Mus musculus: one gene and its partners. The protein of the gene in region 3 interacts with the protein of the main gene of each other region in a pairwise test. Links are inferred from orthologs where the notes say so. Each region holds a gene or a part of one and is shown on either strand. Other genes may lie near its edges. The genes, in order: Trim59, Ptpn5, Vti1b and Creb3.

Region 1 (8,428 bases), on a different chromosome or scaffold from region 3:
TTCTCTTCCAGAAGACAAGAATTTAGTTATCAGGAGGCTTATATGTACCACCCCCAAACCACCAGCAAGAATCTGACACTTTCCCAATACCTGCAGAATATCTGATCACAACACACTTAACTAAAAATACGGTTTTTTAAAAAATGTGTTTTGAGACTATCTCTAAAACAGGAAGGAAAAAAAATAGTTCAGAGACTCCAAGAGGCTGGCAGTTTTGGTTTTGGTTTTTAAATATAAAAAGGGAGTTTATTGGGGACCTGGGAAAGGTGATAGAGGCAGAGAAGGGAAGAGAGACTAGGTAGTCGAGGCTGGCAGTTTTACAGCCCACTTTTATAGTTTTGCTTTGTATTGTTCACAATGCAAGCCATAAATCTGCAAAAACCACAGCCTTTGGCGAGTGGAGGGGAGAGTAATCCTAGTATTTATGTAGAGTATAAAGGCTGACAAAAATTCTATATAAAACCAGTCCCAAGTTAAGTTCATAAAAACAGGGTTGGGATACAGCTCAGTAGTAGAATGTGATGTCTAGTATACACGAGGTCCTGCATTAAGCCCCCAACGCCAAGTTTGTAACAATAGCATTTAGAAATAACTATTCTTGCAGGGCAGTGGTGGCGCTTGCCTTTAATCCCAGCACTCGGGAGGCAGAGGCAGAAGGATCTCTGAGTTCAAGGCCAGCCTGGTCTACAGAGAGTTCCAGGACAGCCAGGGCTACATAGAGAAACCCTGTCTCGAAAAACCAAACAAAACATAACCAAAAAAAAAAAAAAGAAAAGAAAAGAAATAACTGTTCTTTTTAAACTCCTTTTAAATCCGTTTAGCCCTTAGCTCCTTAGCCACCTTCTGTGAGACTGTAGCTTTCCTAGACCAGGTGCCTCTAAATTTAACTGGATAAACTAATTTTACTTCAAGCACTTAAGATTTTAATTTAACCCACATCCACAGAGAACTATGAAGTCATACAAAAATTACCCAAGAAATATAATTTGCTACTCCTTTTATCTAGAGATAAACTGTTTACCAACAACCCCAGAAAACTTTGTAATTTTGTATAAGTCAGAAAGCAATACTTTGAGCTCTATGTATAATTCTTAAGAAGCTATATGCATATCTGTTACTTTTCTGTTGTGTGATAAAACACCATGACCAAGGCAATTCATAGAAGACAGTTTATTTTGGCTTACAGTTCCAGAGGGTTAGAGTTCATAATGAGAACAGCACAGCAGCTGGAGCAGGAAGCTATGAGACTCTTTAAAGGCAGGCATGAACCAGAGAGAACTAAAAGTGAGACAAGACTTTCAACTCTCAAAGCAGACATGTCCTCCCACAGGCTGCACAATCTCTCCAACAGTGCTACCACCTGGGGACTATGTGTTCATCTCAAATGCCTACGGAACCCATGGGGGGACATTTTCACCGAAGCCACCACACCTAGCAACCAGATGCTATGGAAAAAGTGGGGGCTAACTGGTTTTTTAAAAACAGCACTAAGATGCCAGACATACTAGTAAAAAGTCTTTCTTCTTTGAATATAATTAGCCAAGCTTTCAAATGTTTGTTATGTAAAAGCAGACAGTCAGAAAACATACGTAGCCAAAAGAAATGCTGCAAGAAAACAATATACAAAATGTCCCTAAGTTCTAGAAGGAAAAAGGTTTTACCCCAGAACTCTGTACCTGTGCTACTTATTCACATACAACAACAAAAACAACCGTAGCAGCAGCAGCTTCCCAGCAAGCATGAAGAGTCTGAGAACCTCAGACACCAGACAAAGCCCCACACTCCTGAGCTGGGGTCATTGAAAGAGGAACACACATGCACTGACAAGAGGAAAAAATTTTAAAAAATACATAAGAAAAGCAACAAAAGGAGAGAAAAGGCCCAACGTGAACACAGTATCTTGCATAGCTCTATACCAATATATCTGATGGCTTAAAACAAATGAAGTATTCAAAGTATTGAACAAATCAATTCAAATTACTAAGAATGATCCAGGAAAAAAAAGCAAACTGGAACATTTTACAAGTTAAAAAAGTACTATCTTGGACAGGGGGCTGGGGAGGGTCGGGGCAAGCATCTATGATGAATCCTTTCAAATGGTCATGAAACCAATTCTTGTTCATCAGTCCCAGAGTACAAATATAAGTATGCAAATTTCAAGACAGTATATAGTAGGATCCCAAAGCCCTGCAGAGATTATACAAACTAAAAATAGACTAATTTCCCAAAACAGATACTTTATAGAATATAATTAGCGAATTAGCTATATTAGCAAGAATGAAGAGAGTACATTAAAAGAATGCCCATCCTGACTATGCTGGGCTTGTACATCAGTGATAGAGTAAGGTTCTAGGCTCACTCTCCAATACAACTGCATGAACCTTGTTAATTGAGTAACAGGAAATCTGAAATAATTCACTCAGTGAGGGCAATGGAGGGTGAACCGTGTAACCACATTAGATTTTGAAAAACAATGCAAGGATCAGATTAGAAACAGAAAGTGGGATTGTGAAGACCGCAGCCTCCGGAGAGGAAAGGGCAGCCACCGTTTAAGGAGTGCAGAGCTAGAATATGGCAAGATGAAAAAATCTTGAAAATGGGTTTTACTGAAGATTACCAAAGTGAATGTATGTAATGGCACTGACTGTCTACATTATTAAAAGGGTTTCAATGGTACATGTATGCACTGTAAAACACAAGAGGAACTATGAAACCTTTTAACTATTTTCTTTCCTGTCAGATTATAAATTTCAATCAATTTCAAAAATAAGCCATGTGAAATGTATTTTCCTCCAATGAGTACTAAAATCTGAAGTAAAAACTGATAGTTAAGCAAGATAACCCACTTCAATTTAAGTTACCAAAAAAATAAAAAACAGGTTAATACTGGGTCACGGTATTTTATCGCAAGGCTCAATTATCTATTTGTAAGTGATTTCACGAAGTTCTTGTGTTTAAATATAAACACACCTAAGTTTCTCATCCTTTTACAAAACCGACTGACTTTTTACGTCTACAAGGATCCCAGATATAAAATCCTGTGCTTCTAGATTTTAATTCACAACAGTTAACTGCTCTTCATCTTTGAGCATGAATGTCATAAAATACTCATTAGTTTTTACTTTTGTTTCATTTATTGAACTGGGTCTCATGTGTTCTAGGCTGCCCTCAAACTGCACACATAGGAAAGGTGACTTTGAATTCTTCCACCTCTGAAAGCTGAGACTGTAAGCCATATGCCATCCATCACACAGGGTCGAATTATATATTTTTATATATTTTACAATCTCCAAGGAAATTATGTTTCCCAAACCACACTGCTCCATGACTTGCCACAGAAGCCTGGGAAAACTCAGGCCGTGCTACACCCACTTCTGGGCTGCACAGCCTTGTGGCCCTAATTGATAAAAAAGTCTAATGTGTGAAATTACAGGCTTGGGGGGGGGGGGGGGCGAAGAGAGAATTGCTATGATTATGCCATTTATATACTACCATAAGACAAAACTTTAAAATAAACTTTTCTCAGTCACTATAGACGTATACAAAATCTTGTGTTGAGACATATTTTATATACTGTATGTTAATTTTCAGTCTAGAAGAATTTAAAATATTTTCATGTGTAAATGTAAAATTATAATTTTTTTCCTTTTCTAGACAGGGTTTCTCTGTATAGTCCTGACTGTACTAGATATAATTATAATTTTAAAAAATACTATAGCAATATCTAACTTTAAGTCTTTACTGATTTGTTCTGTTTCATTCTAATATAAACCTATTCCACAAAGCTATGAAAGAAGCTACTAATGTAACTTAACCAGGAATTGACATGAGAAATTATACTTTAACTGATTTTTTAATACTATTTCTTAGGGCTGGAGAGATGGCTCAGCAGTTAGGGGCATTAGCTGCTCTTTCAAAGGTCCTGAGTTCAATTCCCAGCAGCCACACAGTGGCTCACAACCACCTGAAATGGGATCTGTTGCCCTCTCCTAGTGTGCATGTGAAGACTAATGTGAAAACAGTGTGTCTACCAATATACATAAAACACAGTATTCAAAAAATAGTTTTTCAAAGTGAAAATATATTTGATGGAAAACATTCAGCAACATATTTGCAATGTCAGTATATATATATTACCCAAAGTCAAAATTTTACTTTTTACCAGGTTAAAATACAGGACCTTGGCTCACTAAAAATGTAGATCAATGTGTAATACTGGGCAAAAAGGAATAAAGGTAGCTTGAATAATAAATGCAGCGTGCAAACGTGTAAGGCAATACCATTTTGTGTGCATGACTTAAGACGTCCACACATGCTTATAAAATGTCTGTTAGATAAAAGTGAAAATCTTTTAGCCAGGCAGTGATGGCTTTGGCTCCAGCACTTGGGAGGCAGAGGAATCTCTGAGTTAAAGACCATCCTGGTCAACAGAGCAATTATCCAGGACAGCCAGGGCTACACAGAGAAACCATGGTTTTTTGTTTTTTGGTTTTTTTTTTTTTTTTGGGGGGGGGGGGAGAATCAAACAAAAAACTGAATACCTTTTAGATTAGGTCATTTCTCACTTTATGCTTCCTCCATAAGATGGTTAAAATTTTATACACTTCCAATATACATCTTTTTTTCAAGAGATTTTTCAATCTTTCATCATAGCCCAGGAATCACACACTCTAATATCCTGATGTTTCTTCGTATCCAGTTAACTTCCCAGAGCTTACCTGGTCTGTCAATCTCCTGATCTGGACACTGGGTGTACTTTATCTTCTCCAACTTTTCCAGGATCCTTTGTTATTCTAAAAGTAAAACAATTTAATGTTTCAGATTTTGCCTGCAGTAAATATTTCATCTTTAAAGTCCCAACCATTTCCACACAAAGGACTTTTTACAACATAACGAATCTCTGACTCTGGACAAGATTAACCAATGATGGGAACTAAACACTCATAGTTTGGTTTGGTGGGTTTTTTGAGACTAATTTTGTAGTCCTCACTGACGACCTGGAACGCACAGGAGAGCTTGCTGCCTCTGTCTGCCCCCATGCTGGGGTTACAGGCGTGCACGTTCATGCCCCGCTTCAAAGTTTTATTTAAACTCAGCAAGACGACTAGAAATATCCTCGCGCGTAGATATCCCCAGCTCGAAACTACGTTAAATTATTCCCATCAACACATTGGGTGGTCTCCGAAACGCTGCAGGCCTCAGTTTTACCTATGAAGGTTCACATCTGTACAATGGGCATAAGTCCTACGTGAACTCCAAACAAAGAAGTGGCTCAAAGATGGCAGTCACACCCTCTTGTCCAGGATGCCCAGGGCTCACTCGCCCCGCGCGGTGCTGCGGGATCTGCTAGGCTCACCTACCGGCCCTTACGACCTCAATCCCGCCGGTAGCTCGGAGCGCCGCTGCTCCACCCGCGAGCGCGCGAAGCGAGGAGAGGCGAGCGCACGCCCTCCGGAGCCCAGCCCGCCTCCCCATCCTCAAGTCGGCGGCGAACGCACCGGGGCCGCGGGCGCTCGAGAAAGAGGGGCAGCGAGCCGCCTCCCCGGCGGAGCCGCGTACTCACCGCGAGGCGGGCGAGGCGGGCGAGGCGGGCGAGGCGGGCGAGGCGGGCGAGGCGGGCGACGGCGCGCACGGCGAGGGCTCCCGGGCAGCCTGGTGCGGACACTGCGAGGCGCTCGCCCGAGTCTTCAGGTGCCCGGCGGGGGCGGGGCCGGCGGCGCCGCAGCGACTTTCAACCGCGCCGCCTCCGCCAATGAGAGAGCGCGGGCGGCCTTTGAACACCAACGGCCGAGGGCCAGGCGCCTGCGCACTAGCGCGCGGCGCGGAAAGCGCACGGGCGGCAGGGGTCGCGCCTTGGGGGGGAAGGGCTGGCGCCAGGACCTCGCGAGGGCGGGGATGCGCGGGTGACCCGGCGGCTTCTGGAGGCGGCTGGCTGAGGGACTGCTTATTACTTAGGACCACGCCCGCACGGGATGGTTCTGGAGCTGGCGGCGCGCAGGCTTCTTCCATTGTTACCTCACAGGTTCCTTGTTCAGTCACCGGCTGGAGGGCTCGGCGCGCTCGCCCGCCCCCGTGAGGCTCCGGTCCTCCAACTTAGGCGCGCCTAAGCCTTCATCTGTGTCCTCCCTGTCCTCTCTAACACGCTGGGTCAGAAAACACAGTAGTGGCTTTTCACTTTCTCGGAGAAACGCCATTCCAGAGCTCAGACCGCTCTCCGCTCCCGGCCGGTGTGAGCTACAGAGCAGATTCCAAGTCAGCCTAAGACTCACAGCAAGACTTGACCTCGGAGACAAGATGGAAAGAGGGGGCGTAGAGGAAGGAAAATGGATTGTGCCTTCAAGGAGTGTGCTTTACAGGTCCATAGAGTGCCCGACCCTGCCAGAAAGTTCTGTAACCAAACATGGGGAAGGGGCAGAGAAGAGGAGCCTTAGCACTAAGGCAGCTCCACGCTGACCGGCAGCGCTACTCAGGATTTATGAACTGTTATTCATGCGCTCTATAGATGATAGTGTTGGTCTGGAAAAGAAAGACTAGAAATTACAATTCAAATACAGGCACCAAAGCGTAAAAGTCGTAAACCTAAAAACCTCATGTGTTGGGGCGTCAGCCTTCGAAAACTTTGGGCTGAAAAAAAAAAATCAGCTGCTTTGGGTGTCTTCCATTACGATATACACACTCCCAATACTCCCTTTGTGATAGAGTATTGAGAAACGGGATAAAGGATGGGAAATACGTGGTTTTGTTACAGGTATAATATCGGAAAGATGATGAACAGAAATGTGACTTCTGAGCTGGGGGTGTAGCTCAGTTCCAGTGCTCGCCTGGCGTGTTCAGTTCCCACCATGGAAAAGCCAAACCGCTGAGCGCACATTAACATCTTCTTGGCGCTCCTCAGACTCCTTGCTTGAAAACTTTTTGTCTTGAGCTTTGAAACAGAAAGTCAGCGCTGGCTGTTCTTCCAGAAGACCCACACAGCAGCTCACAACTGTTGCACGGGAATCTGATGCTCTCTTCTAGCCTCCCAGATCACTAAGCAAGGATGTGATGTACGCATGCATGCACGTTACAAACCACACATTAAAGAAATAGATAAACGGGGTTTTATTTGTTTTTAACTGACCAGAGGTAACAGCAGTTAAGAGCACTTACTATTCTCAAATTCAGTTCCCAGCATGACTGTGGACCCCTCACAACTGCCTGTAACTCCCGCTCCAGGGGATCTAAGCTCACTCTTGACTGGCTCTGCAGACACACACAGATGGCATATACTTACACTGACAATCACTCGTACACATAAAAAATAAAAATAAAAACAGTAGAAGCTTGTATACTGTCTTAGATAAGAACAATAAACTCTTGAGGAATTACAGAGCGAACATATATTTGTATTAGAAGGCAAGTTCTAGGGCTGTTACTAAAAGATACTAAAAAGATGGGGACAGACAGAAGCTAGTAGAAGCTAAGGATTACTTCAAGGAGCTTGTTAGGAAACGTTCATTGTAGCCCCATCTAAGTCTCTGGCCAGCAAGGATACTTTCTGGTTTTCTTATCTGAAGGAGAGTCTTCCCACAAGAATCTGTTTGCTGCAGACAGGAAAATGCAGGCCCGCTGGTCCTGGCTAACGTCAGAGTTCCTCAAGTGATTTCAGCTGTAGTCATCCGCATACCAACCCCACCTAACTTGAGGCAGCCCTTCACTCTGTGAGAATTAGCACAAACTGTAACCCAGCAAATGGGTTTCATGCCAGACAGTCATGGCATACAGTCTTAATCTCAGCTTCTGGGGGCAGAAGTGTTGGTTCTCAGGAGTTAGTAGACAGTCTAGTCTACAGACCTAGTTCTAGGACAGTCAAGGCCACACAGAGAAACCCTGTCTAGAAACACACACACACACACACACACACTACCAACAAAAAGAATGTATTCCACGTCAAATGTGGTCAAACCTCTAGTGCTAAAGCAGGAGGATCCCTGCAATTTAGAGGCCAGCATAGTCTATACCATGAGTTTGAGGACAGCCTGGGCCACGAGGTTGGGACGTTATCTCGAAACATACATAAAAAGCATGTTCTTCAATAATGCTTTTCTTCAGAATCATGGAGAAAGCCATGTTTAATAGTATGTGCCTGTAATGTCAGTGCATGGGAAACTGAGGCAAGAGGCCTGGATTACATACTGAGACCTTGACCCTAAATAAGTAAATAAATAATCAGCCATTGTTAAACAAAATTGTTATTATATCTCTGTGACAAATTTCTCTAACATTTCAGGCCCAGGGAAAATGTTTCTTTTGCTAGTTTTGCTTTTTTTTTTGGTGAGCCATGAAGGTCATACAATGATAACTTTGTTGCCAGCTGCTAAGGAATTGGCTACAAGTCTTAGCAAGCTCTTCCTTCCCAGGATACATTGTTTAATATAATGTTAGCTCC
Region 2 (7,522 bases), on a different chromosome or scaffold from region 3:
GTGTGTCCGTGTATGTGTGTGTCCGTGTGTGTGTGTGTGTGTATACAAGAGGAGATGGGAATGCATAGAGAAGAGCAGTCAGGCAGTGGACTTCTACTCTTTGGCCTCTTTTCTTTACTCTCCATCTCTGCTTCCCTGACTGGTTAGAAGAACTAGTGAGCCTGTTCCTCACCCAGCAACACAAACAATCCCAGGTTCCTAGAGAGGGAGAATAAGGGGCTTAAACTTACTCAGCTGAATAGGGCTCACAGAGGGCTGGAGGACCTGTTGAAAGGTATGTGGGAGAGGAAGGCAGGGCTGGGTGTTTCGTCAGGAGGAAAGGAAGTCAGGCCAAGGAGGGATTTCTAACTATCCCGTTCTGGGGTAGGCCTTGCAAGGAAGCTGCTTAGCTCTTGTTTCGGGGTCCTGGGGACTCGTGGGATTTGGGATGGTGAGGCAGGTGACTGTTGTTTCCACAGCTCTGCTTCCATGTGACACAGGACAAAGCAGAGCCTTAGCTTTCTTCCTTATGCTTTTTTGAACCAGTAGTTTAATATATTAAAAACATAAAGTACCATAAACATCTCCTCACCGCCTCTCGGGCCCCCAGATAGGGACCTGCATGCAATGTGCATGGGGCTTCCTCTGGATCTCTTCAATGCAGACATGTATATGTGTATGTGGCCTTCCCACTGTACATGTCAGGAGGCCTGTCAGACACACAGTTCTGCCCCTGTGTTCTCTCTGTGCCTTGGGGGTCTCCGTATACCAGTTTACAAGGCTTTTTCTTTGTTCTGGATGATAACCCTGGTGTTGCAGTGAGTGGGTGTACCTGCCTCTTAGTTAACCTGTGTGGTAGTTTTTTTGTTTTTTTGTTTTTTTGTTTTTTTTTTTTTGTTTTTTTTTTTTTGAGACAGGGTTTCTCTGTATAGCCCTGGCTGTCCTGGAACTCACTTTGTAGACCAGGCTGGCCTCGAACTCAGAAATCTGCCTGCCTCTGCCTCCTGAGTGCTTTACAGGCGTGTGCCACCACGCCCGCTATGTGGTAGTTTTTAAGAATCTGTTTTGCATATGAGGAAACATGTGTGACTGAAATGACCTACCCAGATTTGTCACCAAGAAAAGCATCTGGGATTCTTGCTCCTCCAGCCCTGCCTTGTCCCAGTGGCCTCCAGGCTTAAAGCCTTCTCCCGAGCAGGTGCTCTGAGGCTAGTGCCCAGTTCCTGCCTTACTATATACCTTCCATCTCTGGTTCTGAGACCATTTATTCTGCCTCAGACCATATCCCTTTCTTGTACAGAAAGTACCAGTTCGTGGCTCTTTCCAGGGGAGATGGCAGGAAGCCTTAGCTTCTGTACTAACCTGTGCCTTCTAACCTTTGAATACTGTGCCTGTGACTTGGAGGCTCAGCTACTGCTCTGCCAGTAGGATGGCCGGTCTCCTCCCTCTTTGTTCCAATAGCAGGCACTGGTCATTGCCAGATCCCTAGATGCTGTATAGACCTTTGGGGGAGTCTTTTTCTTAGGCTCTTGTCTCAGCACTGGGGCACACAGCTTGGTGGTAGGAATTAGGGGAGGGGAGCAAGCTGGACCCAAGAATGGGCAGAATGCCGGGGATCAGGCCTGAGGGAAGCTGAGGCGGCAGGCAAGCAGTTTGCTTCCTGTGCCTTATGCCTTCTGCTTCTCACTGCTGTAGGTTGGGACCTCTCCAAGCTGAGGGGCTCAGGTTGGCATATGTGCCTGTCCGTGCCTGGGCACAATAGCACGCACAGCTTAACAGGGTTTGGGGAAAAAGTCAGAGGCGTTTGTCTCTCCAGTACTGGGAAGAGGGGCACTCGATGAGTCTGGTGGATGTACCGCTTAGCACAAGTCCTGGGGAATACCGTTTGTGCTGCGTTCTGTGGCCTGGTGGGGCAAGGGATAACATTAGACCTCCTCCTTCCTACTCCTCCTCAGTCTGAAATCTACATAGAAAGGCTCATTCTCTGGGTGGGAGATCTCCCTGAGCTGGCATCCCTGCTTTGGACCTATTGACTAGTCCATTTACCCCATGTTAGCCCCATGGGTCCCAATAGCGGCTGCAAACCAGCAGTTTCCCATGGAAGTAAGGCCTGGGCTGAGAGTAGCTCCTCCCCCACAAAGGGCCCCAGGGAACTAGATCATAAGCCACTTGGGACACTTCTCTGCTTTTATCCCTGGCCCCTGGGATGAAGCAAAGGTAGCTGTGATTCTCTGCTGGGAAACGGAAGTCACCCTGGGGCAGGGCTACTGGCCAGCCAGCAGGGCCTTAAAAGATTCAACCATGGAGGGGATACCACGGATAATAAGGAAAAAAAATAAGGGTGTCTAAAGCTCAGATGGGGTTCCAGAGAAAAGGAGTGTGCTATCCAATGAGAGAGGAGCCTGGGTGAGATGGAAATGTCTTCTTGCCCTGCCCTTGGGCTCCTTGGCTCACCTGTTGTAGTTGGTGACCTGTTAGTTACTTTGCCTTCCTGGAATCGTCCCATACACATCTTTGAGGTTCCCTATGGTGTGGTGCACCTCTGTGGGCTGGGGCTGAAGGCAAGTGGGAATTCTTTTTTTTTTTTTTTTAAAGGTTTATTTATTTATTATATGTAAGTACACTGTAGCTGTCTTCAGACACTCCAGAAGAGGGAGTCAGATCTCGTTACGGATGGTTGTGAGCCACCATGTGGTTGCTGGGATTTGAACTCCTGACCTTCGGAAGAGCAGTCGGGTGCTCTTACCCACTGAGCCATCTCACCAGCCCGCAAGTGGGAATTCTGAGGTATTTATTAATAGACTGTTTTTTTTTTTTTTTCTTTTTTAAACCCAGCTTTATGTATATTCACAATCTCCACAGGGGGCGCCAGCGAGCATGAGGGCCAACTTTATGCACATGTGCTGGGAAGCAGGAGCTAGGGGCGGGGAGGGGTGTGGGTGTGGGTGTGGGTGTGGGGAGGTGGGGGGTGCACACAAAAGCCTAGGGTGTCAGGAGAGAGCAGGAAATGACAGACCCAAGAGGCTAGTTTTGCTCAAAATGCTCTGTTTATTGCTCTATTCAATGACCACGAGCGGATTAAAAAAAGACACCAAATGTCTCCGTTTGCCGTGGAATAAATATTTAAAGTCAGCAATAAAAACACGTGGCTCCAAGATAACACATGTTGCCAAAGAGTCATGCATGCCCTGTTCATGGGCTCTCAACACACGCATGGACAAGGGAACACACACAGAGCAACATGTAGGGAGACACTTGCGGTTTCCCATAGTGACACAGAAAGATGTCTCACAGGTCTGGAGCTGTCCACATCCTACTCTTGGAGGCCCCCCTCAGGGCTCAGATCTTTGGGGTTCCCCACTATATCTGTCCTCTTCCTCTCCAGTGCCACATAGACTGGAGATACTCATCTTTGCCCAGGAACTGTCTTAGCTGGGATCTCTCTGTCAACCATCATGTGCTCCCCTGCCTGGTCTCTGCCATCCACATCCTGGTAGCAAAATGCACTCTGCCTTTGCAGAGGAGCCAGTGGGGCCAGAGGAAGGTCAGTATCTCTGCCTGGGGAGCAGGGTGGGAGTCTGGTGTGGGGATGTGGGTGAGGGCTGAGGGGTGAGAGCTTAGTTCAGTGCTCCTTTCCTGGCTGAGGGGACACAGTGTTTGGTACAAATAGCTGTGATAGATGGACAGACAGAACACATTATGGTAGGACACTTGGGGTGTGGCATGGAAACATTTTGGACCAAGTAGCTGTGGAACCATGGTTAAAACTGAGGCCCTCAGGTCTATATGGTGTGGGTCAGGCCCAGGGGCCCCAGGCCTGGCCTGGCACATTCCTCCCCTGCCCTCCCCAACTCTGCAGTATATACAGTAGGAGAGCTAGGCTTGGGGTAGGGACCAGGCCAGGACAATAGATGGGGAACAGACTGAAGAGAGGGGAGGATGAGGGGGAGGGCCAGGGAATAGGCCCAGGACCCAAGGCAAGATCTTGGGTAGTTGGGGTAAAGACCCAGCCTCAGGCTTGGCAGTACCCAGTGGATCTCAGAGGAAGAGCGTGGTCACTCTGAGGACTGGAGGGACAGCTGCTTCTCATAGAGGCTCATGGCGTGGTGCACAAACTGGTACTGTTCGCATGTCTGGATCATGCCACCCCTGCCCAGTAGAGATGCAGTAGGCTGCGGGAGGGCCACCAACACTAGGGGCACCAGCTAGTCTGCAGCTTAGAGAGACCAACTCTTCCCAGCCACTGCCCTCTGCCCCTTCCTTTCAGGGCCACACCTTTGTTTTCAGCACTGTCTTTCCAAACCAGCTGCCTCTCTTCTGCCTTCTTCCAGAAGAGAGCTGACTGGATTCTGTGCTCTCCCATTTGGTTTTTCAGTTCCCTAGCCACCTTACACACTATGTCTGGTTTGTCAGCTATCCCTCGATTCACGCTCACATCATGTTGCCACCCTCTCCTCCCCTGATCAGCGGGCTAACCTGTCCTGACGGAGCTGGCACGTGGTCTTCAGGATGTCCACCACGCCCTCACGTCGCAGCTGCTGGCAGCAGATGCTGGTGGCAATGAAGCAGCCAGTTCTCCCAATCCCTGCACTGAGGGCCAAGGGGATGATGGGGTAAGGGACAGAGCAGTCCAGGGATGGGGTGGCCCGGCTCCAGTGGGTGGCCAGGAGAACCCACCTGCAGTGAACGATGATTGGGGAACAATGGGGTCCCTCTTGTTGGGCTGCCTCCTCCACTTCCCGTACCAGGTGCAGGAGTGGGGGAGCCCGGTCGGGGGTCTTCTGGTCAGGCCAGGATGTGAACCAGTAATGCTTCAAGCTTCGCTCTTCAGTCCCTCTCTGTCAGAGAGAGAGAGAGAGAGAGAGAGAGAGAGAGAGAGAGAGAGAGAGAGAGAGAGAGAGAACACCCCCCAAGTACATGTGAATGCTTTCAGAATTGATCCAAAGATGGAGATGGGAAGGGAGGAATGAGAGTAGGGAATCTGTAGTCCCCCATCTACCATACTGCTTAATGGCACAAGACAGATCAGTGTGTGTGTGTGTGTGTGTGTGTGTGTGTGTGTGTGTGTGCGCGCGCACGTGTGCGTGCATGTAGCATTAGCCTCTAAACTCTGAAATCATCGAAGAAAAGCAAAGGGGCTTTTCTCCAACTTATTACTGTCTGACAGTTCCTATCCTGACAGATGTCCCAGGCACCCCTTAGTCACATGACCAAGAACACAGGTACTATGCTCTGTCTGCCCACCCCACTGTCCTCATTAGCTGCTGTCAGCCTCCTCTCTGCTCTACCATCCCATGGTGGGAAGATCCAACCTTCTTCCTCCCTGACTATCAAAGACCCATAGCATCAACATGATCCTTCCCCAGCACGAATCTGGATACCCTGCGCTGTGTTTAAGACCTGGCTTGGTCTGATGGTTCAGGCCTGTAATTCTAGCTACTTGGAAGCCTGAGGCAGAAAGATCACAATCTCAAGCCCTGCATGGTCTGCAGTGCAAGTTCTAGGCCAGCCTTGGAAACTTAGTGAGACTGTCTCAAAACAAACAAAAGAGTGAAAAAAGGGCTGGGAATGTAGTTCAGTAAGAGAGTTCTGGCCTCTAATCCCACACCAAACCAAGAAACCCTTTACTGTGGACTGAATGCGGTGGCTTCCTCCCCCAACTTCGTATGTTGAAACCTCCTTTCCATTGTGTGAGAATTTGAAGATGGGGCAGGAGTTCACCCCTTTGATGTGATTCATATCCTTAGAGACCCCAGGAAGTTTCCTCACTCCATCATCCTTCCTGCCCTGGGAGGACACAATCCAGGCAACGTGTGCTTGCATGCACAGCTGCTCCTTCTATGTATGGGAAAGCTTTTCCATTTGTCCCCTACTAGTCACCCCTTACCAGTCCTCCAGGACCCCATACAGCACTGCCAGGCACCTCACCCCAGAGCACGCCATCTGGCATACTGCCCTTCTGTATTCTTGCCTGTACTACTTGGTGTTTACCATCTTACAGGTGCTCCTTGAAGAAACAATCCAGGACACAATTATGCCCCCGGTACTCGACCCGGAACCACAAAGCAGGTGCTTGGAAACACCCTCAAACCCAGACACCCTGGTTCTTCTCTAGCCTGTCTCCTAGCCTCTCTACTTGGGAGATGGTTCCTCATGTCCTTGGGTCACTCTGCTGTGACAGCAGCTGCCCCCCCCCCCCCCGGCTTTCAAGGTTTTCAGGAAGTCTTGGTGTTAGATGCTCATATGGACACTGTCCCCATGACAGTGTGGGGGCTAAGGCACCCTGGCATCTTGCCCAGCACTGCATCCAGTGAGAGACAGAGGCGCTCAGAGGGACAAATGTCAGGCCCTGAGCTCTTTTCTGTGGCGGAACCCCATGGCTGTTAGCATCAGCATCAGGCTGTTTCTGAATTGGGCATCAGCTTCCTGGTGCTTGACTTAACTTCTCTACCTTTCTGGGTTATCACAGGGGACTTCACCTCCACAAATACATCCCACTGCTTCTCCAAACCAGAATCTTTTGATGCCCCCAAAGGAGCAGCCCTCCTCTTCTGCTTATCCCGGACACGGCACAACTTTCCAGCAGGAGGATGCCCTTTCCCCACCCTTCTGGGCTGCTTCGTGTTGCTCATATTTTGTGCATTTTCCTTTTTTTCCTGCCATTTCCTGTAACCATGACTGTGTGTCCTAAAGCAGCAAGGAGTGCCTGCCCTCTGCTGGTGGACATTTTGGGTGCATCAGACTGGAAGCCAGCACCCCAGTGGAAGGGACATTACTGTCACTCAAACTCGTAAAGGAACTCTCAGTTACGATAAGGACAATGCTGGAAGCCCTTGAAGCCTCCTTGCCCAGGTAGTGCTGGCCTTGGGAAGATGTGGAGGAGAGCTGCTATGGTCGGCAGTGCACAGAAAGGGCGTAGGGCACATGCAAGCAAGGCTTAGCGTCTGAGTCTATTGACCCTTGTTTAACAGTACGTGCTGGGAGTGCCGTGGGTCGATGTGTCACCTACAGTAGGCCTTTCAGTACTGTTTTCAGGTGGGGGTCTCAACTAAGCCTCCCCAACATCCCTTTCCTGTTTAGGTCCATGCCTCACCCTGAGGGAGATGAGTCGCAGCCGGTAGTCCTCCGTGTGGATGACTTTCTGCACGGTGATCTCCACGCCGTCATGGACCACCTGCTCTTCTGGCCAGTATTCTGTGCACTTCTGCAAGGACCAAGATCAGGCTGGGTTACATTCCCACTCCTCTTCCACATCCCTTCCTGCTCCGCTGGGGTCTACAAGGACGACAGGCTTCGTTTTAGAAGTCTGCGTCGAAATCTTGACTTCATAACTTGTGACCTACTTCTCATTTCTGAGCCTCAGTTTCTCCCATTTGAAAAATGAAAATGATACCATCTTATAGGATAATGTGTGTGTGTGTGTGTGTGTCTGTGTGCTTGTGTGTAAAGGTCAGAGTTTAACTTCAGGTGTTGTTCCTCATGGGCAGTCCACTTTGGTTTTTTGGACAGGATCTCTCGTGGGCCTGGAACTCACCATGTAAGT
Region 3 (7,692 bases):
GTTGTTTTTGAAGTTTACAAGCTATTAATGTTATACATGTAAGTTTGAAGGAGTCATAAACAACATTTATTACCTTAGTATATCATACTGGTCTTGTTGCTGTTCCTTCACATTTTCGAGGTTTTCCATTGCCCTCCCTCCCATAGTCTGACAAGACAATACATTCTTGAACTGTTAGCCCACAGCAGCAACACATATTCCTATGTAAAACCATTCATTCAGAGTAAGATGCTGGTCCACAAGGCTTTCCCTACAGAAGTTCAATGGTGTCGAAAGAATTTGTAATACACCAGACCGACCAGGATGGCTAGCTCCAGCAAGATGATGACGGAGAGCAGCAACTTGTTGGTTATCACTCTACAAAGACAAGCAGAGTAAGTAGACATGAGTCTGGGCAATCTTATTTCTAGCTGTTTCTAATGCTAGACACAGTGAGGTAGATGGAGTTTGAGTTTGGCTACACAGCCACACAGCAGAAAGCACTGTCCTTTGGACAGTGACAATTCATGGTGCTCTTGGCTTAAGTGAGGGACAACACTGACTACATCACAAAAATGTGGGAAACAGGAATATAACACTAAAACGTAATGACTTCTTGACTCTAAAAATTCCTCTACTTGTCCTGCTGTTTTAAATATGGTCCTACCAGCCATACATACGCTACGGGTGCACTCTTTAGTGTCAAAGTCGATTAAGCTCACGGCCGGGTCCTGCTTGTAGGATGAGGAACTAGTGGCCTTGAGATCTGCTTTTCAGTGTCTTGTAAACTTCTCCCTTCTTACTCTTCCCTATTTCTCCCTCTGCTCTACTACCTCAACAGTCACTCGCCAAAAAGTTTACTTCAGGTTATCATCTCGTTTCTCCTTACTTTAAGGAATTATTAGTGTTTGGGGGAAATCTTCTCCCACTGCTTGTTCTATGAATGGATTTCTGAAGCTCTTGTTAGCTCACATGCACCAAGGACACGCCACACTAGGTACCCAGCTTAGCCCAAATGGCACCATCTCCCTTCGGCCTTTTTTTTTTTTTAACTACAGTTAGGAGTTACCTCAAGGTTGGTTTTTTTGTTTAGTTTTTTTAAAATTAGTGAACACAGGTATGTGCATCCTACACAGTTCACTTGTGGCAGTCAGAGGACAGCTTTGGGGATGGCGCTCTCCTATCAATCGTCAGGCTCATGCCACAACCGCTTTTACCTCCCGCTAGCTTGTTTTTGTTCTTTTAAAATACTTCTTGCTAACAAGACAGGACTCCCAAAAAAGGCCTGCCATAAAAGGCAAGAACTAAGTACTATCCGTGCTCCCACACCGGGTGTTCATAAACATGTTCCCGGGAGCAGAAAAGCTCTATTGGTTCCTTAGGTCCCCTCTAAGAGAGAGAAACTGGGACTGACATTGTTCAGCAGACAGGTTTCCCACTATTTATGTTGGAACAATCTATGAATTTACCAATCTCCTGAGATATGTAACATACAGACTATGTTGTCCTTTGCTGTTGAGTGACTTCGGGGCAGGGAGCAGGGCTTGGGGAGCACCAAGGTGATTTACCAGGACATTTGTTAAGTCACTGGTTTAAGCTTTCTTAGTTGAAATACATTAAATGTCAAGAATTTGTGGGGGTTTTTGAAACTTACTTTCTGGACATTGAGCGAAGAATCTTCCGGCTTTTGCTCAAATTTTCATTTGTATTTACCAGCTGGAAGAGAAAATAATAGGTCATCTCCTAATCCTTTCCAAAAAAAAAAAATCTATAGAACTTGAACATGGGCATTAAAAAGGTCTTTGTTAAGACACAAAGAATCAAATGAATTTAATAGCTTATATCTAAGCTATTAAGTATAAGTAAAGGAACCTAGAAAAGTCAAGGTGTTTGGGTGCTCATTAAGGAGGGAAGCACTATATCTCATTGTTCCTATAGGCATGGGCGGCTGTGAGGTCACTAATCCTTCACCTTGGCTATTCAGATAGGAAAGCGACAGGCATGGTAGCATGGTGGCGCACACTTTTAATCCCAGAAACAGGCTTGGCAAGTTGAAGCCAGCCTGGTCTACAGAGAGTTCCAGGACAGCCAGAGCTACATGAGACCCAGCCTCAGGAAAAGAACAAAAAAAAAAAAAAAAAAAAGGGAGGCGGGGAGGAGAATAGTGCCACAGTTTTAAAACCAAGCCTTTCTGACTGCCATATAGGCTATAAGGTTTTACCTATGCTGGGCCAGTGACTGCAGGGCAACCTATGATTTGAATCTTATCACTTAAATACTTGGAGAGCCTCCTGAGTTGGTATTTGCTTGTGTTTTTAAGGGTTTACTTTTATGTGTATGAGTGTTTGCTTGAATGTATGTATGTGCACCGCATGGATATGTGGTGTCCTCAGAAGTCAAAAGAGGGCATCGAATCCCCTGGAACTGGAGACATGGTTGTGAGCTGTCATGAATAGGAAAACAGAGCTGGAGAGGTGACCCAACACATAAAACCACTTGCTGCTGTGCTGGGCAGTGGTGTTGCATGCCTTTAATCCCAGCACTTGGGAGGCAGAGGCAGGCAGATTTCTGAGTTTGAGGCCAGCCTGGTCTACAAAGTGAGTTCCAGGACAGCCAGGGATACACAGAGAAACCCTGTCTCAGGAAACCAAAAGAAAAAAATAAAAGAAAAAGAAAAAAAGGCACTTGCTGCTTGTCCAGAGGACCTGAGTTTATTGCCGGGATGGGTATGGCAGTTTACAAGCATAACTCCAGTCCCAGGAAATCTGATGTCTCTGGCTTCCTTAGGCACCAGGACCATGTGATACAGAGATATATATACAGGCAAAAAACCTACACACACAATTTTTTTTTTTTTTAAGAATAGAAAAATATGCTGTTAGACCTGAAATTAAAATCTCCTTTCACTGAATCCTTACTGGTGTTTTCACATTCTCTTTTCATGAATAAAGCGAGACATGAAATAGTATAAATCATTATTGCTTTGCGGCCCAGCATGGTGGCACACAACCTTAATCCCAGTAGGCAGAGGCAGGAGGATCACTGAGTTCCAGGCCAGCAGTCAGATCTAAATAGCAAGATTCAACTCACAAATATTATAGACACATCTACGTATTTTTGTGTGTTTATGTCTGTTGTATGTGCACATCTGTGTGGGTATGGAGGGTACCTTCCTTGACTGCTCTCCACACTGTAGGCAATTTTGGCATTATTATCTTTCTTTAAAACACAGAAATAGGGGCTGGAGAGATGGCTCAGTGGTTAAGAGCACTGGCTGCTCTTCCAGAGGACTCAGGTTTAATTCCCAGCACCCACATGGCAGCTCACAACTATCTATAGCTCTAGTTCCAGGGCATCTGGTGCCCTCACACATACATACATGTAGTCAAAACACCAATGCACATAAAATAAAAATAAATCTTAGGAAAAAAACCCCACAGAGATATAAGAATATGTTTTTGTTTTAATCCCAGGTATAAGATATGGGGCTACTTCAGATTGTCCATAGCAGCTGACTTTGATTTGCCTCGTGCAGGGGTGTGATTTTGCCAGCAGCATATAGTTTCTGTGACTGTGTGATGTTTGGAATTCTGGGGACTTTTCAGAGGGTATATAAATGCTAGAGTCCCAAGAAACAAGATGGATTGATTGTTGCTGTTGGTGGTTGGTCATGGTTTCTCAAGCAGTTAAGCACAAAGAGATGAGAAGAAATTAGAAATCTTGAAGATCAAACTTGACACAAGAAGCTCTATACTCCTAGTCAGCAGGAAGTAGCCTAACAATAACATCACCCCCTTTCCTCTCTTTCCTTTTTCCTCTCCTATCTTGTGTTGGGGGTTGAGAGGGTGGGGAAGGGTAGAAGAACCCACAAAAACTGGCTACACCACCTTAAAGGACCTCTCAATACACTGGGCTGGCCAGCAAGCTCCAAAAATCCAACTTTTTCTAATCCTTACCCCCAAACTCTGGGGTTGCAAATGCATGGACATCTGTACTGACTTTATCGACTAATCCATCTCCTTTGGCTCTGTATTAATTCTAATGGGGAATCTTTTAGCCCAGCAATTTAAAAATTGTGAAAAGGGGAGGGGGCTGTTATTCCCAGAGAGAGAATAAAAGAGTTATTTCCAGAATTCAGAACTGCTGTAGTGTCTGGCTTTAGTACGACATCTGGGTATGAAGGACCCTCCGATTTTACACATTGCCCAGACTTACTCTGCTCTTAGTACGTTCCAACTGGTCTCGTTGCTCCCCCAACTCTTCTATGATTTCTGTACCAATTTGATCAGTTTCTGTGGCAATCCGATGAGAACGCTCAATGCTTTGGGTAGCCCGGTTCAGGCTTTCAGTGCCTTGTAGGAGTAATGCTCTTTGAGACTGTAGTCGATTCTGACAGGAGTAAGGAAGAAAAGTTTTAGGCTACTTCCATTATTAAGAATTTTTTGTCAATACATTCCTTGTGACTTTCTTCTTTCACTACAGTTTTTCCTTTCTTTCTGCAGGAAACTGATTTTAGGGCACTCTACTGAAGTCCTATGTATAAGTATCTACATATAACATCTCTCTCTCTTTCTCTCTCTCTCCTCCCAATTCATTAAATCATCTTTAGATTACTTATACCTGAGAAAAGGTAAATATTATGTAAATATTGTTCAAGAGAATCATGACAAGAAAATCATCAATAGATGCTCATCAAATAAAAACATTCTTAAAGATTTATTTATGCATGTGTACATGTGCACCAGGGTGCCCATGGATGCCAGGAGAAGGTATTGGATCCCTCAAAACTGGAATTTTTTTTTTTTTTTTTTTTTTTTGAGACAGAGTTCTACTGTGTAGTCCTGGCAAACCTTGAACTTACTATGTAGACCAGCCTGGCTTCAACTCACTGAGATCCATCTGTCTCTGCCTTCCAAGTGCAAGGATGAAAAGCTAGGTGCCACCATGCCTGGATAAATATAATACTTTTAAAAAATATTTTCAATCCAAAGCTGACTGGGTATTCAGCTGCAGTGGGTATGAAGAGTTGGTTAGCTGTGCTTTTTAAAATTGAATCAAAGATTCTAATGAACCATAAGATCCTCTTCAAGGTCCTAGACTAAAGCAGGTACATCCCACTTCCTGTTATACTTCTGAAAATAGATTGAAAAAAATCGGAGCATTTTTCCTGTAGACCAGTTAAAATCCATTATAAACTTGTAATTGGTTACTAGCAACTTCAGTCAGCATCCAGACTTGAGAAGGTGGTAGTGTGTGCAAAAATGACCTGATTAAGCTTGTGACTTTAAAAGTTAAAACTTTTTCAAATATTTATTCATTTTTGTTTTTTGAGACAGTCTCACTGTAATTGAAGCTGGCTTCAAACTCATCATGACCCTCCTGGCTCAACATCCAAGTGCTGGAACCGTAAATGTGTGTCGTCATGCCTGGCTAGCCTTTCATAGGGCCACAAGTAAACAACTAACTCCCCAGAACTCTAGAAAATAATTAGTTCCCTCAAGATTCCCATTTGACTGGTCCTGAAGATTTATAGACCATAAATAAGGTATTCTTTCTCAGCATAGAAGTCACTAAAAGCTAGAGACATTGATACATTCTTGAAAAAAGTTCTATGGCTACAATCTGTTTGTGAACTCCACCAATACCACCAAAAAAGAACATCACCTCATGCCAAACAGCACTCTCAAGTGATCACGCTGGTGACTTGCTCACAGAGAAGGGGAATCTGGACCTCAAGCAAGCTTCCCTAACTTCCCAAGAACTCTAAATCTTCACTGAAGTTTTTTTCTCTTTAATCCTAAATGCAGCACGACTACAAAAGCAGCCCACGTCTGGCCAGAATCAATAAAGATGGGCAGAGATGGGGTAGCACACATAATCAAGAGGGGCTCAGCTCACAGAACTTACTACAGAGCAGGTGGCAAATGGCATAAGATGTCATCAACAATTAAGATTCTTAATCCAAGCACTCAGGAGGCAGAGGCAGGCAGATCTGAGTTCCAGGACAGTCAGGGTTACATAGAGAAATCCTGTATCAAAAAAAGAAAGAAAAAAGAGAAGAGAAAATTAGCCTCTTGGGCTGGAACAGTGGTGCACACCTTTAATTCCAGCACTCACAAGAGAGGCAGGGGCAAAAGGATCTTTGTGAGTTCAAGGCTAGCCTGATGCACAATAGGGAGTTCAAGGACTATATACTCTCTCAAATTTTTTCTTAAATTAGATTCTTAAAATAAGAATGTCTACTTTACAAATAGCATACAGACGAGTAAGTGAAGAAACCACTGAGGATCAAATAAATCCCATCGTGTGTGGTGCACGCCTGCAATCTTAACATCTAGGAGGCAGATGTGGGAGGATGGCTCTGAGGGCAGCCTGGTCAATAGAGTGAGGTTCAGTGCAGCTAAAATGGTGCTGGTGAGATGGTTCAGTGCCAAGCCTGAAGACCTGAGTTCAGTTATGGGAACTCCTGCATGTGGTCCTCTGACTTCCACACACGTGCTTATGTATACATACAAAATAAATAATGTAATAAAGAGAGGCTGGAGCGATGGCTCCGGGATTAGCACTGGCTGTCGTTCAGAGAACATGGGTTTAATTCCCAGCACCCACGTACTGGTTCACAACCATATGTAACTGCAGTTTCAGGGATCAGTAGCCTCACCTAGCCTCTGTGAGAACTGCATGCACATGGTGAACATGGAGGTAGACACCTACGCACATAAAATAGAGCAAGAAAAGATAACATCACATAAATCAACCTTGGAAAGACATGGGATAGTCCCACTAAAGGCACACATGTTTAGCTACATAAATCAGCCTCAGATAGACATGGGATAATCCTACTGAAGGTATAGGTGTTATCTATACTATGGACTCGGGCTGCTGAGTCAGCAGCTCTACGGGGTATTTGAGGCCAGTATTGGCATCATGGTGACAATCCTCTTTCAAGTTGACTTACATGTTTTGAAATTAATAAATTTAAAGTAAATGTTTGGACTTTTCAATACTCTTTTTTTGAGGGGGAAGTTAGAAAAAAAAATTACCAGAGTGATTTTTTTTATAATATCTGTTTTAACAAATTCTATTTGCCCTTTTCAGCCTTCCTTCACTGGTGTACTCACATGCATCCATTTCAAAATTGTTTTGTTTTCTCTTCAAAAATTGTGTCTAAGAAGCCAGGAACTAATGTAGGGGCCACTGCTAGGGAAGATACTTCAGATCTGCTGCAGATCAGCTACCAAGTAGGGCTGTGCATACCCCAGGAACTTGAAGTATTTGTAGGTCAGGTTCTAGGCTGGAGCAAAGCTGAAAAGCTCCCTTATCTTGCTTTGATTGGTGGTCTCTGCACAAAGTGTCTGGCATTGTTCTTCAGTCAGCACCTTGCCATACAAGGCATCCAGCAACCCATCAATGCCTGTGACCTTGGCAATGAGTGCTTGCCTATGCTGCCACACAAAATGTGCTGGTCTGGCTGCCATCTGAGGAGGATTGCAGCTGACACAGACTCTGACTTGGATAATGACCGTTTGCAGCTGCTTGACCCTCTCCATTCTCTAAGTCTCTAAGTCCAATCACTGTGAGCACCAAGTCTTGTGTTTTGTGTTTTGAGATAGAAGCTACGGAGCTTGTCAGAGAGGTCTATGGGGCCTCCAAGGGATGCAGCACTGACGGAAGCCTCATTTTGAACTCCTCCATCTCCTCACTGTATGGCTT
Region 4 (8,318 bases), on a different chromosome or scaffold from region 3:
CCAGGTATTTCCTACCCTGCATGTGGTCCGTGCTCTCCAAACCATCTTTGAACTCAACGTCCAAGCCTTTGCAGGAGGAGCCATGGGGGCCGTGAACGGGATGCACCCTCATGGTGTCCCTGATAGATCCAGTGTGCAGTCTGATGAAGTCTGGGTGGGTGTGGTCTATGGGCTGGCAGCCACCATGATCCAAGAGGTAATGAATTCTCTTCCCAGCCCTTCACCATTTGTACTGAGGTCCAGAAAACTTCCTCAGCCACTAACTTTATTCCAAGAACACCCTACTGCCTGCCATCTTATCCGTCCACAGAGCGCCCTTCTCCCTAATAAGTGTTCCACCTCTTGCCTTTAAGTTCTTGCCTTTAGGGCGAACGGCCTCCTGTCTTCTCTGCTCAGCTAAGGTAATTGTGCCAAGAGTCAGTTATTATGTGTGACTTCTACGTCTCCCCACAGGGCCTGACTTGGGAAGGTTTCCGGACAGCTGAAGGCTGTTACCGCACTGTATGGGAACGCCTGGGCCTGGCTTTCCAGACCCCAGAGGCATACTGCCAGCAACAAGTGTTCCGCTCCCTGGCCTACATGCGGCCACTGAGCATCTGGGCCATGCAGCTGGCCCTGCAACAGCAGCAGCATAAAAAGAGCCGCAGGCCATCAGTCACACAAGGCACGGGACTAAGCACACAGCCTGAATGTGGACCAAAGAGATCGCTGGCAAACCTCAATTCAGAGTGATCCCTCTGAACTGTGGAGGCCCAGCCTCCACACTGGACCTCCTCCTTCCTCCCACAAGTCCTGCAGCCCTGAGCCAATAGGACAATCGCGCCCCTCTTCCTTCCCAGCTGTGCCAGTAAAAAGGGGCTGAGGAACCACTTATTTATTTCTTACCCTACCCAGTCCTTCCATGGATGAAGTATTCAAGGCCAGTAAATGTCTCCAAATCTATTCACGGGGCAACAGATACATATGGGTATAAATAAAATACTCAGAAAACTAGTTAGTGTGGTGTGTCTGAGTTCCTGGGCATCCTAACAGAGCACGTGAGCAAAGGCCAGCTTTCCCCTGCTCCTTTTTATTTGAATACAGACAGGAGTCCTCAGGCTGAGGACACCCCACATCCTCACACCTAACCTGAATACCTGCCCTGAAAGATGACCAAAGAAGGGCTGTGGTTAGGTTGCCATCCCTCGCTTTCTGAAAGGTTTGCCTGCAGGAGAAGGTTGGAGTCGGAGAAGAGCATCTCTGAAGAAAGATCCCAGAGTGGCCAGTGCAGGGGCTGCTCTGCCTGAGGCGCGTGGTACAGTACACAGGAAAAGTTGCTGGAGACCAAGAACATATGTTCTGAGCTGTCCAGTGACTGGTGTGTGCTGTCCATGGGTAGCTCTGACGATAGAGCAGATGGCTTCGGCTGATGATCGTCCTCGCTGGGGAGGGCACGAAGCTTGCGGTGCAACACTGAAGAGACAAAGACTGGTCAGGAGACCACACAGAAGAAGCCCTCTCTCTACCACAGACCACGCCCGAAGGTGTCCTTAAGCCTCTTACCAACATACTCCGCGGGCACACTTCCCCTTGCATCAGAGGAGTACATAGCGGGTACCAGGAGAAGACAGAAGGAGAACACGAGGACCTAGAACACAGGGAGAAGAAGGGGGTGAAGAGCTCTGGGTCACACACCCCATCTCTGCCAGGGAAAGGATCTCTTGTCACCCTCCTCACCAGAACACAAGTGCTGCCGCTGCTGGTTTTGTTGGCTATCTCAATCACCATGGCTTGAAGCTTCCTCAGTTGATCTAGAAGGGACCTAAGAGACGAGAGGAGACGGTAGTGCGCATGCTCTGGCCGAGCATGCAAGGCACGATGAAGGCCTCCTGTCTTAGCTACCCTCTCCACTCATGCTGTGGATCCAGTCTCAGCTTCCTTGCCTTTCCCCCTCACCCCAAGTGTCTTTGTGCACAAATGCCTGTGATTCCTTAGTGAGACAAAAAAAAAATCAAACTGCTCTGTCCTGACTTAAATACCTTCAAGAAAAACTCTCCAGTAGCTGCAGTACCTGATCAACTAAGCTTGTGCTTCCCCACCAAGCCCTGTGCTCTCTACCCAACCCCAGAGCTAGAGCCAGCCAAGCACAATGCAGCCTTCTCTCCTCCCAGTCCCATCCCCACAGCTGCAACTGCAATGACGCTGACGACCTGCAGTCTTTTCTTACTTCTCTATCTTGGTACTTAATTGCTCCTTAGCTACTTATAAGTTTATTCTCCATCACGCTTGAGACATGGCTAACTTCCGGATGTCTGCATTTTTGAGCTATCCAGTTGGAAGTCATGTGGAACAGTGGAAAGAGTGAGAAAGCATTAAAAAACCGATTGTCTTCAAATGGCCGCTTACAGATTCTGTTCCTCCAAACGCTGCACCTTGTTCTGCAGCTCCCGATTCTGAGCTGTGTATTTCAAGACCCTAGAGGACAACATGGATGTGAGGACACGTGGATTTCAAAATATTGTGTCTCCTCCCTTCAAGACCCTCCAGGCTTCCCCCGTGTCCATCCTTGCTTACCTGCTCTCCAGCCCCACGACATACACCTTCTTCTTCTTGCGGCTTTCTTGAGCTGCTCTCTTGTTACGAATCTTCCTCCGCACTCGTTTCAGAACTTGTTCCTCCACCTAAGAGAAGATGGGGGAAAGGTCACCCACAGTATGTTATTATATGCCTGTATGTTATACCTATATATACTACATAGGTATGTTGGAAGACAGCTAACCTTCTTCCCAATCAAATACTCTCCACAGCCTCTCTGTCAGTAGGCATTTACCTTCTGTGTGAACACCAAGGAGCAGATATTCAACACTAGAAAGCCAGACTTTTTATTATTTTTTATGTGTTTGGGTGTTTTGCCTGCATGTCTGTATAACGTATATGTATAATGGGTGTGCCTAGTGCCCACATAGGCTAGAAGAGGGTGTCAGATCTCCTCGGATTGTAAGCTGCCATGTGGGAGCTGGGACTTGAACTCATGCCCCATGGAAAAGCAGAAAGTACTCTAAACCACGGAATCATCTTTCCAGTCTCTAATTAATTTTAAAAATTCCACTTAAGCTAGGTGTGGTTGTACATGCCTGTAGTATCAGCACTTGGGAGGCAGAAGAAGGAAGTCAGGATTTCAAGACCATCCTTGGCTAGGGTAGTTTTTGAGGACAGACTGAGCTACATAAGACCATGTCTCAAAACTAACAACAACAACATCTACCCTTATCCTAAAGCAACATCAATCTTCTTATAATTTCCATTCATTTGATTTTCCTAGAGTCTCTAAAGTGATATAGAATATATCCTTATCTTAAGGTACTTTCAACTTTTTTTCTTTCAGAAACTAAAACTGAATAAAGTTAACTCTTACATTCTCTGATAATGCCTGTCAAACTTGGACACTAGCCAAGAGTGACATCATACACTTGTAATCTAGTCCGAGGGAGTTAGAAGCAGGAGAATCAGGAATTCAAAGGCATTCTTTCCCTACTACATAGTTTGAGGCCAGCCCAGCCTGGGTTTACAAGACCCTGCCTTAACAACAAGGGCCAGAGGGCGTGGCTCAGCAGTGAGCATTGATGAACATTCATGAGGTACTGTACTCCAATCCCAGTGGGTAGGGGAATTATGGCATGCTCTGGCCAGTGTAAAGGAAGACAAGACAGTTACTATCCTAGGGACAGAACCACTATTGATAATTTCCAAGTTCCGTTTCCTTTCCTCCCAATATATTGCTCATTCATCTTGTAATAGTGATAGAGGGATAGGGGATGGTTTCTCACATAGCCCAAGCTTGCCTGAACTCAACATGAAGCTAAGTCTGTCCGTTAATGCTGATCCACCTGCCCCAAATAAGTAAATATCTACATATCAGAAGTAAGACAATATTAAAAAGGCAAATGACATTAAAAAAATTTGCCACAAAAACTAGATGCAGTATTCTTGTAATCCCAGCACGTGGGAAGTGACTTTGAACTTGTGAAGACCTTCCTGCTCCTGCCTCCAGAGTGCTAGGGTTATAGAGGGGTGCACCATCATGTCCAGCTTTGACGATTGTTGATGTTGTTAGACTGAGTCAGCCTCTCAAGCATTTCTACCACTGAGTATGATTCGAGGTCCCAAGATAACAACGGAAGCTATCAAGGCCCTTCACTTTCAAGGCTCTGTACTAAAGTTACATTTAAAACATTATCTTTTGACGTGGGTGTGTGTTTGGAGATGAGAGAACTTGTAGGAGTTGGTTTGTCCTTTTGCAAGTGATTGATATGAAACAAACTGAGCTTGCCTACTTGGGTTACCAACCCCCTCCAGCCTTTGCTCTACCAACAGGAGCCTTACCTTAGTGAGAGGAAGGGTTGAGGGCAGAGTGAGCCCCTCCTTCTCCAAGAGCTTCTTCTCTTCCTCGGTCAGTATCAGCCTAGACATCTCCTAAGGATGGAGGAAATAGTGAAGAGAGCAGAGTTGCATGGAGCTCTCAGAGCAGTATGGGGGATCTTGGCTGCTGCAAAGTGAGGTAATCCTGAAAAAAAAAATCAAGTCCAGCACCTGTTCCGCTGCTCTTTCCTCCCCTGGCAGTGGAGTCACGTGGAACCCCTCCTTTTCGAAGCTCTCAGTATCTGCAAAAGGGAAAGTAGAACCAGCTAGCCCAGTGAGCTCTCTCCTCCCCCACAACTTATCATTTCACACTCACCTAGATCTATGGAGACGTGCTCCTGTGGAAGGGAGTAGTTGTGATCATGGAGAATGGAAGAGCTGGAAGAGCCGAGAACATCCCGCGATACTGAGGGACTGAGCAGAGAGCTCAGTAAATCCTCTACCTCCCAGTCGCTCAGTTCTTGCACGGAGTTCTATCAAATTCAAAGGCCTTGATTTATTTCCGTACCTTGGGTCTCGCGGACATCCCTAGCTTCCCCCACTGGGAACACCCACCCACCCACCTCGGAAGGTGACAGCTCTAAGTCCAGCGGAGCCTTCACGTCCGGCTCAGTCGCAGCCCACAAATCTCCGCTTTCCTCTAGCAGGAAGCCCAGCAGGTCCTGATCACCGGGATCCAAAGCTAGCAGATCCTGACCACCAGGATCCATTTGGGATATCTATGGATAGAAATCCCTCCGCGCAGATCCAACCTCCGAACCTCAGGCACGACCCCTCAGTCTGTCCAGTCGGCTCGACTTAACCTCCGTCACTCCGGGACAAGGGCCTAGCTGTCACTCTAAACCGCACCCGTCTCTCAGCTTCTGTATTCCTCAGCTTCCAACACAACGGAAGTGGTGCACATAGCCCCGTGGAATCCTGGGACTTGGAGTTCTCTCCAACTCGGAAGTGGCTCCTGGGCTGCGCCACGTCCCGGGGGCTATGCAAATTATGGGGACGTCCTTTCAAGCTTCCCACGCCCCAGGGCGGGGATTCTGAGGATCCTTGTCCGCCTTCGCCTCGAGCTATTAAAAAAAAAAACTTAAGCGTTTAAAAGGGAACTCCAGCTTAGTTCGGGCGTTCTCTCCAGAGCTCTGCACGCTCGCTTCCTGCTGGGGAGGGGCGGCCAGGCTTCGCGGGCGCCCGAGCATCGAGAACTACGGCCAGAGCAGCTTCCTGCAGTCTCCGCTACCATAGAGCGCGGGCCCAGGGCGCCGCCGGCGGGTGGGGGACGTTTCCAGGACGGAAGTGGCCGAGAGTGTGTCGAAGGGAGGGCGAGGCCGGAGCCCCAAAAGCGACCGGGAGAAGGAGCGGGTAGCGGGCCCAGGGCGGGGCGCAGAGCCGGGCAGCGCAGGTAGGCCGGACGGGCTGGGCCGAGCTTCTAGGTGGGGCTGCGGGATCGGGCCAGCCCGGGAAGCGGCGGGCGGGGCCCCCAATCCTCCTGCATATCCTGTGTCTGGTTAGGGAGGTCAGGGTCCAGTATGTTTCGGTTTGGATTTGGAATTAAGCTGGCCTTGTTGCGAGAAGCAGGCCCTTTCGCGGGGGTAGACAGTTCTCTGTCTCGGCTAGGTTTGGGGACGGGTAGAAATGGGGTGGCAGTGAGGCACTGGGTGGCAGTGAGGCACTGGGCGGGGATGGGCTTTGGTATTAGCCGATAGTGAGTAAGTGGTTAGGAAAACTTGGGGTGAGTTTGGGTTAGGTGCCGTCGCGTTTAGGAAGCAAGGATCCCTTTAGAAGTTAAGAAGGTGAACTACATTCTAAACATTTGCTGCACGAGTCAAGTCTGTTTCGCATATGTGACATTTAAACTGAGGTCATTATTTTCTGCAATGACCAGCATTAAGTCAGAGTACAGGATCGGGTTAAGGATCAACAGGAATTGGCTTAGATGCCCGTTTTAGGGATTAAAGGCCGGTGTCATGGTCAGTATTAAGAATAAACAGTGAAAAGGTTAATTAAGAACCAAGTTACAAATGAGCTTTAGAACTGCAGGGTGGGGTGGGAGGGAGTATTTAGGGTTAAATTTGGGGGATTTGGGCCTAAAAATAAAAGCCAGATTAGTATGGGTGTCTTCTGGGAAAGGGGTGAATGTCAATGTATAGGGAAATAGGAAATAAAGTCAGCATTAATGTTAGGAATTGGTGATAGCGTTAGGGGTTGAGGCTGCAGCTACAGCTGAGCTGGTAAAATGTAAGAAGTTGGCAGGAAGTAGCTACCTTTGTTTTGTAGTGAGTTCTCTTATTCCTGTGCAGTTACAGAGGCCTCTTTTACCCAAAGAAGTGCTAGAGCTCTGGACCTCAGCTAGAAGTGCCAGGACTCTGCTTTCTCTAGTCTACTGCCTAAGCACAAGGCTTCCAGAGGCCACCACCACTGGGAGACAGGGATTTCTGGGCTGTGATGTTTACGAGGTGGGAGGTGGGAAATGGAAAGAGACCCAGGAGTCAGACAAGGTCCTAAGTGAGGATGGGGAATAGGAAGCCTGTGACTGAGGGGAAGCTGACCAAGGGAACGCTGTCGACTAAATGATGACAGTTTGACTCGAGCCTCCCTCATTCTCCACACACTGCCTTCTCTCTGTCTCTTTGCCCTCCCTGGTCCCACATTGCATACCTTTACAGTTCCTTACAGATACTGTCGTGGTCTTTAGCTCGTCTCCTGCTGTTCATCTGAACCATTTCCCACCCCCACACCCCTGTCTCTGTCTCTTGATCCACACATCCTACTTTACTTCATGTCCCTCAAACCTGAGCTTTCCCAACATCGGAGAGCACTTTCTCATACTTGCATACCACCTGGTCAGCTGCTGAACCCCCCCCCCCCCCGCCACCGGGCTCTTCCCATGTGTACCCCCTGGTTTCTGAGCCTCCTTTTACTTCTAGGTCCAGTTGTGGATCCCCTTCCCCCACTCCCCGACAGAAAAGAGGAAATGATACCCAAAGAGGAAACTTGGTCTTACTGATCCCACGCCCAGCCAGGCCACTGACCACACCCCCATGTCACTCCCAGCTTGACCCTGCCAGTGACCACAACACTGTCCCCTCCCCATGCTGCCTCTCCTTCCAACCCAGGGTTGCCTAGCCGCTGTCAGTGTTCTCTCACTCTCTCCCCACTAGCCCAATTTAGCAGCTTACCACATCCCTAGCTCTTCTGGAGCTCCTGACCCGGCCTCCGGCCTCCCTGTCATCCCCGGTTTAGTCAGCATCCATGGACTCATGCTTTTCCCTCCCCACCTGCTCAGTGGCTCATCATGTGTCTGTTCCCTACCATCACGCTCCTGGTCTCTTTTTCTACACCCTGTGATCCCCAGCCACAGCCTAATACTGTCAGTAACCCCACCTCTGTGCCCCTGCTACAGATACTTCCTATCGCATCATTTACCACCCAGCGTCATTCCCACATCCTGACTTAGTCCCCTCTCCTTCCCTGGTTTATTAAACTGAAGCTGTCTAGTCAGTAAATGGGTACTGGTCATAGGAAGCTGATTTTGGCTTCAGTTTTCTGAGTCCTGTATGTCAGTTCTACTTTTCTTCTGAATGGCAACTTCCTCTCCATACAGCTTTAACTCTGGCTTTATTATCGCTTATACTAATACAGTCTCCTCCTAACTTGGCCCCAGAGTTGCCCGAAAACCCAGTGCTGGGGATGTCCCTGTTTAAAGCTTCCTTGGCCTCCTGTTCCCCTCCAGTCAGTTAGGTTCCTCATACTGCTCTCTCCGCTTTTGCCTTTCCATCTTAACCCTGACGTCCCCACCGCTGCTCCCTTGCAGGTGCCCCGTGCTCCAGCCAGCTTGCCTCCTCACTTTCCTGGGCATTCCTCCGAGATCTCCTGCCTCTCAACCTTTGCTAGTGCTATTCTCTGTGCCTGGGACGATACCTTTGACT

The links.
Region 1: the proteins of Vti1b (region 3) and Trim59 interact in binary tests that used the Homo sapiens proteins (3 or more experiments, as listed by UniProt). The two-hybrid records come from large-scale screens. The link is inferred for Mus musculus from reciprocal best matches to the Homo sapiens genes VTI1B and TRIM59.
Region 2: the proteins of Vti1b (region 3) and Ptpn5 interact in binary tests that used the Homo sapiens proteins (3 or more experiments, as listed by UniProt). The two-hybrid records come from large-scale screens. The link is inferred for Mus musculus from reciprocal best matches to the Homo sapiens genes VTI1B and PTPN5.
Region 4: the proteins of Vti1b (region 3) and Creb3 interact in a two-hybrid assay, tested with the Homo sapiens proteins (2 studies listed by BioGRID and IntAct). The two-hybrid records come from large-scale screens. The link is inferred for Mus musculus from reciprocal best matches to the Homo sapiens genes VTI1B and CREB3.

The regions. Positions count from the first base shown.
Region 1 is NC_000069.6:69,039,050-69,047,477, forward strand, and holds the start of Trim59 (tripartite motif-containing protein 59), read right to left. Parts: upstream 5,694-8,428; 5' UTR 5,564-5,693; exon of another isoform or gene 5,357-5,563; intron 5,297-5,356; exon of another isoform or gene 5,209-5,296; intron 4,794-5,208; 5' UTR 4,719-4,793; intron 1-4,718. UniProt on the Homo sapiens protein: E3 ubiquitin ligase involved in different processes such as development and immune response. Serves as a negative regulator for innate immune signaling pathways by suppressing RLR-induced activation of IRF3/7 and NF-kappa-B via interaction with adapter ECSIT.
Region 2 is NC_000073.6:47,074,791-47,082,312, forward strand, and holds the end of Ptpn5 (tyrosine-protein phosphatase non-receptor type 5), read right to left. Parts: intron 7,184-7,522; coding exon 7,073-7,183; intron 4,818-7,072; coding exon 4,657-4,817; intron 4,570-4,656; coding exon 4,456-4,569; intron 4,129-4,455; coding exon 4,035-4,128; 3' UTR 3,008-4,034; downstream 1-3,007. UniProt on the Homo sapiens protein: May regulate the activity of several effector molecules involved in synaptic plasticity and neuronal cell survival, including MAPKs, Src family kinases and NMDA receptors.
Region 3 is NC_000078.6:79,156,215-79,163,906, forward strand, and holds part of Vti1b (vesicle transport through interaction with t-SNAREs homolog 1B), read right to left. Parts: intron 4,369-7,692; coding exon 4,195-4,368; intron 1,696-4,194; coding exon 1,634-1,695; intron 358-1,633; coding exon 261-357; 3' UTR 1-260. UniProt on the Homo sapiens protein: V-SNARE that mediates vesicle transport pathways through interactions with t-SNAREs on the target membrane. These interactions are proposed to mediate aspects of the specificity of vesicle trafficking and to promote fusion of the lipid bilayers.
Region 4 is NC_000070.6:43,559,603-43,567,920, reverse strand, and holds Creb3 (cyclic AMP-responsive element-binding protein 3), read right to left. Parts: upstream 5,264-8,318; 5' UTR 5,109-5,263; coding exon 4,962-5,108; intron 4,872-4,961; coding exon 4,715-4,871; intron 4,641-4,714; coding exon 4,570-4,640; intron 4,453-4,569; coding exon 4,363-4,452; intron 2,661-4,362; coding exon 2,554-2,660; intron 2,455-2,553; coding exon 2,386-2,454; intron 1,802-2,385; coding exon 1,717-1,801; intron 1,628-1,716; coding exon 1,543-1,627; intron 1,453-1,542; coding exon 1,124-1,452; 3' UTR 860-1,123; downstream 1-859. Other genes in the region: Gba2 (non-lysosomal glucosylceramidase), read left to right, coding at 5-196, 454-732. UniProt on the Homo sapiens protein: Endoplasmic reticulum (ER)-bound sequence-specific transcription factor that directly binds DNA and activates transcription. Plays a role in the unfolded protein response (UPR), promoting cell survival versus ER stress-induced apoptotic cell death.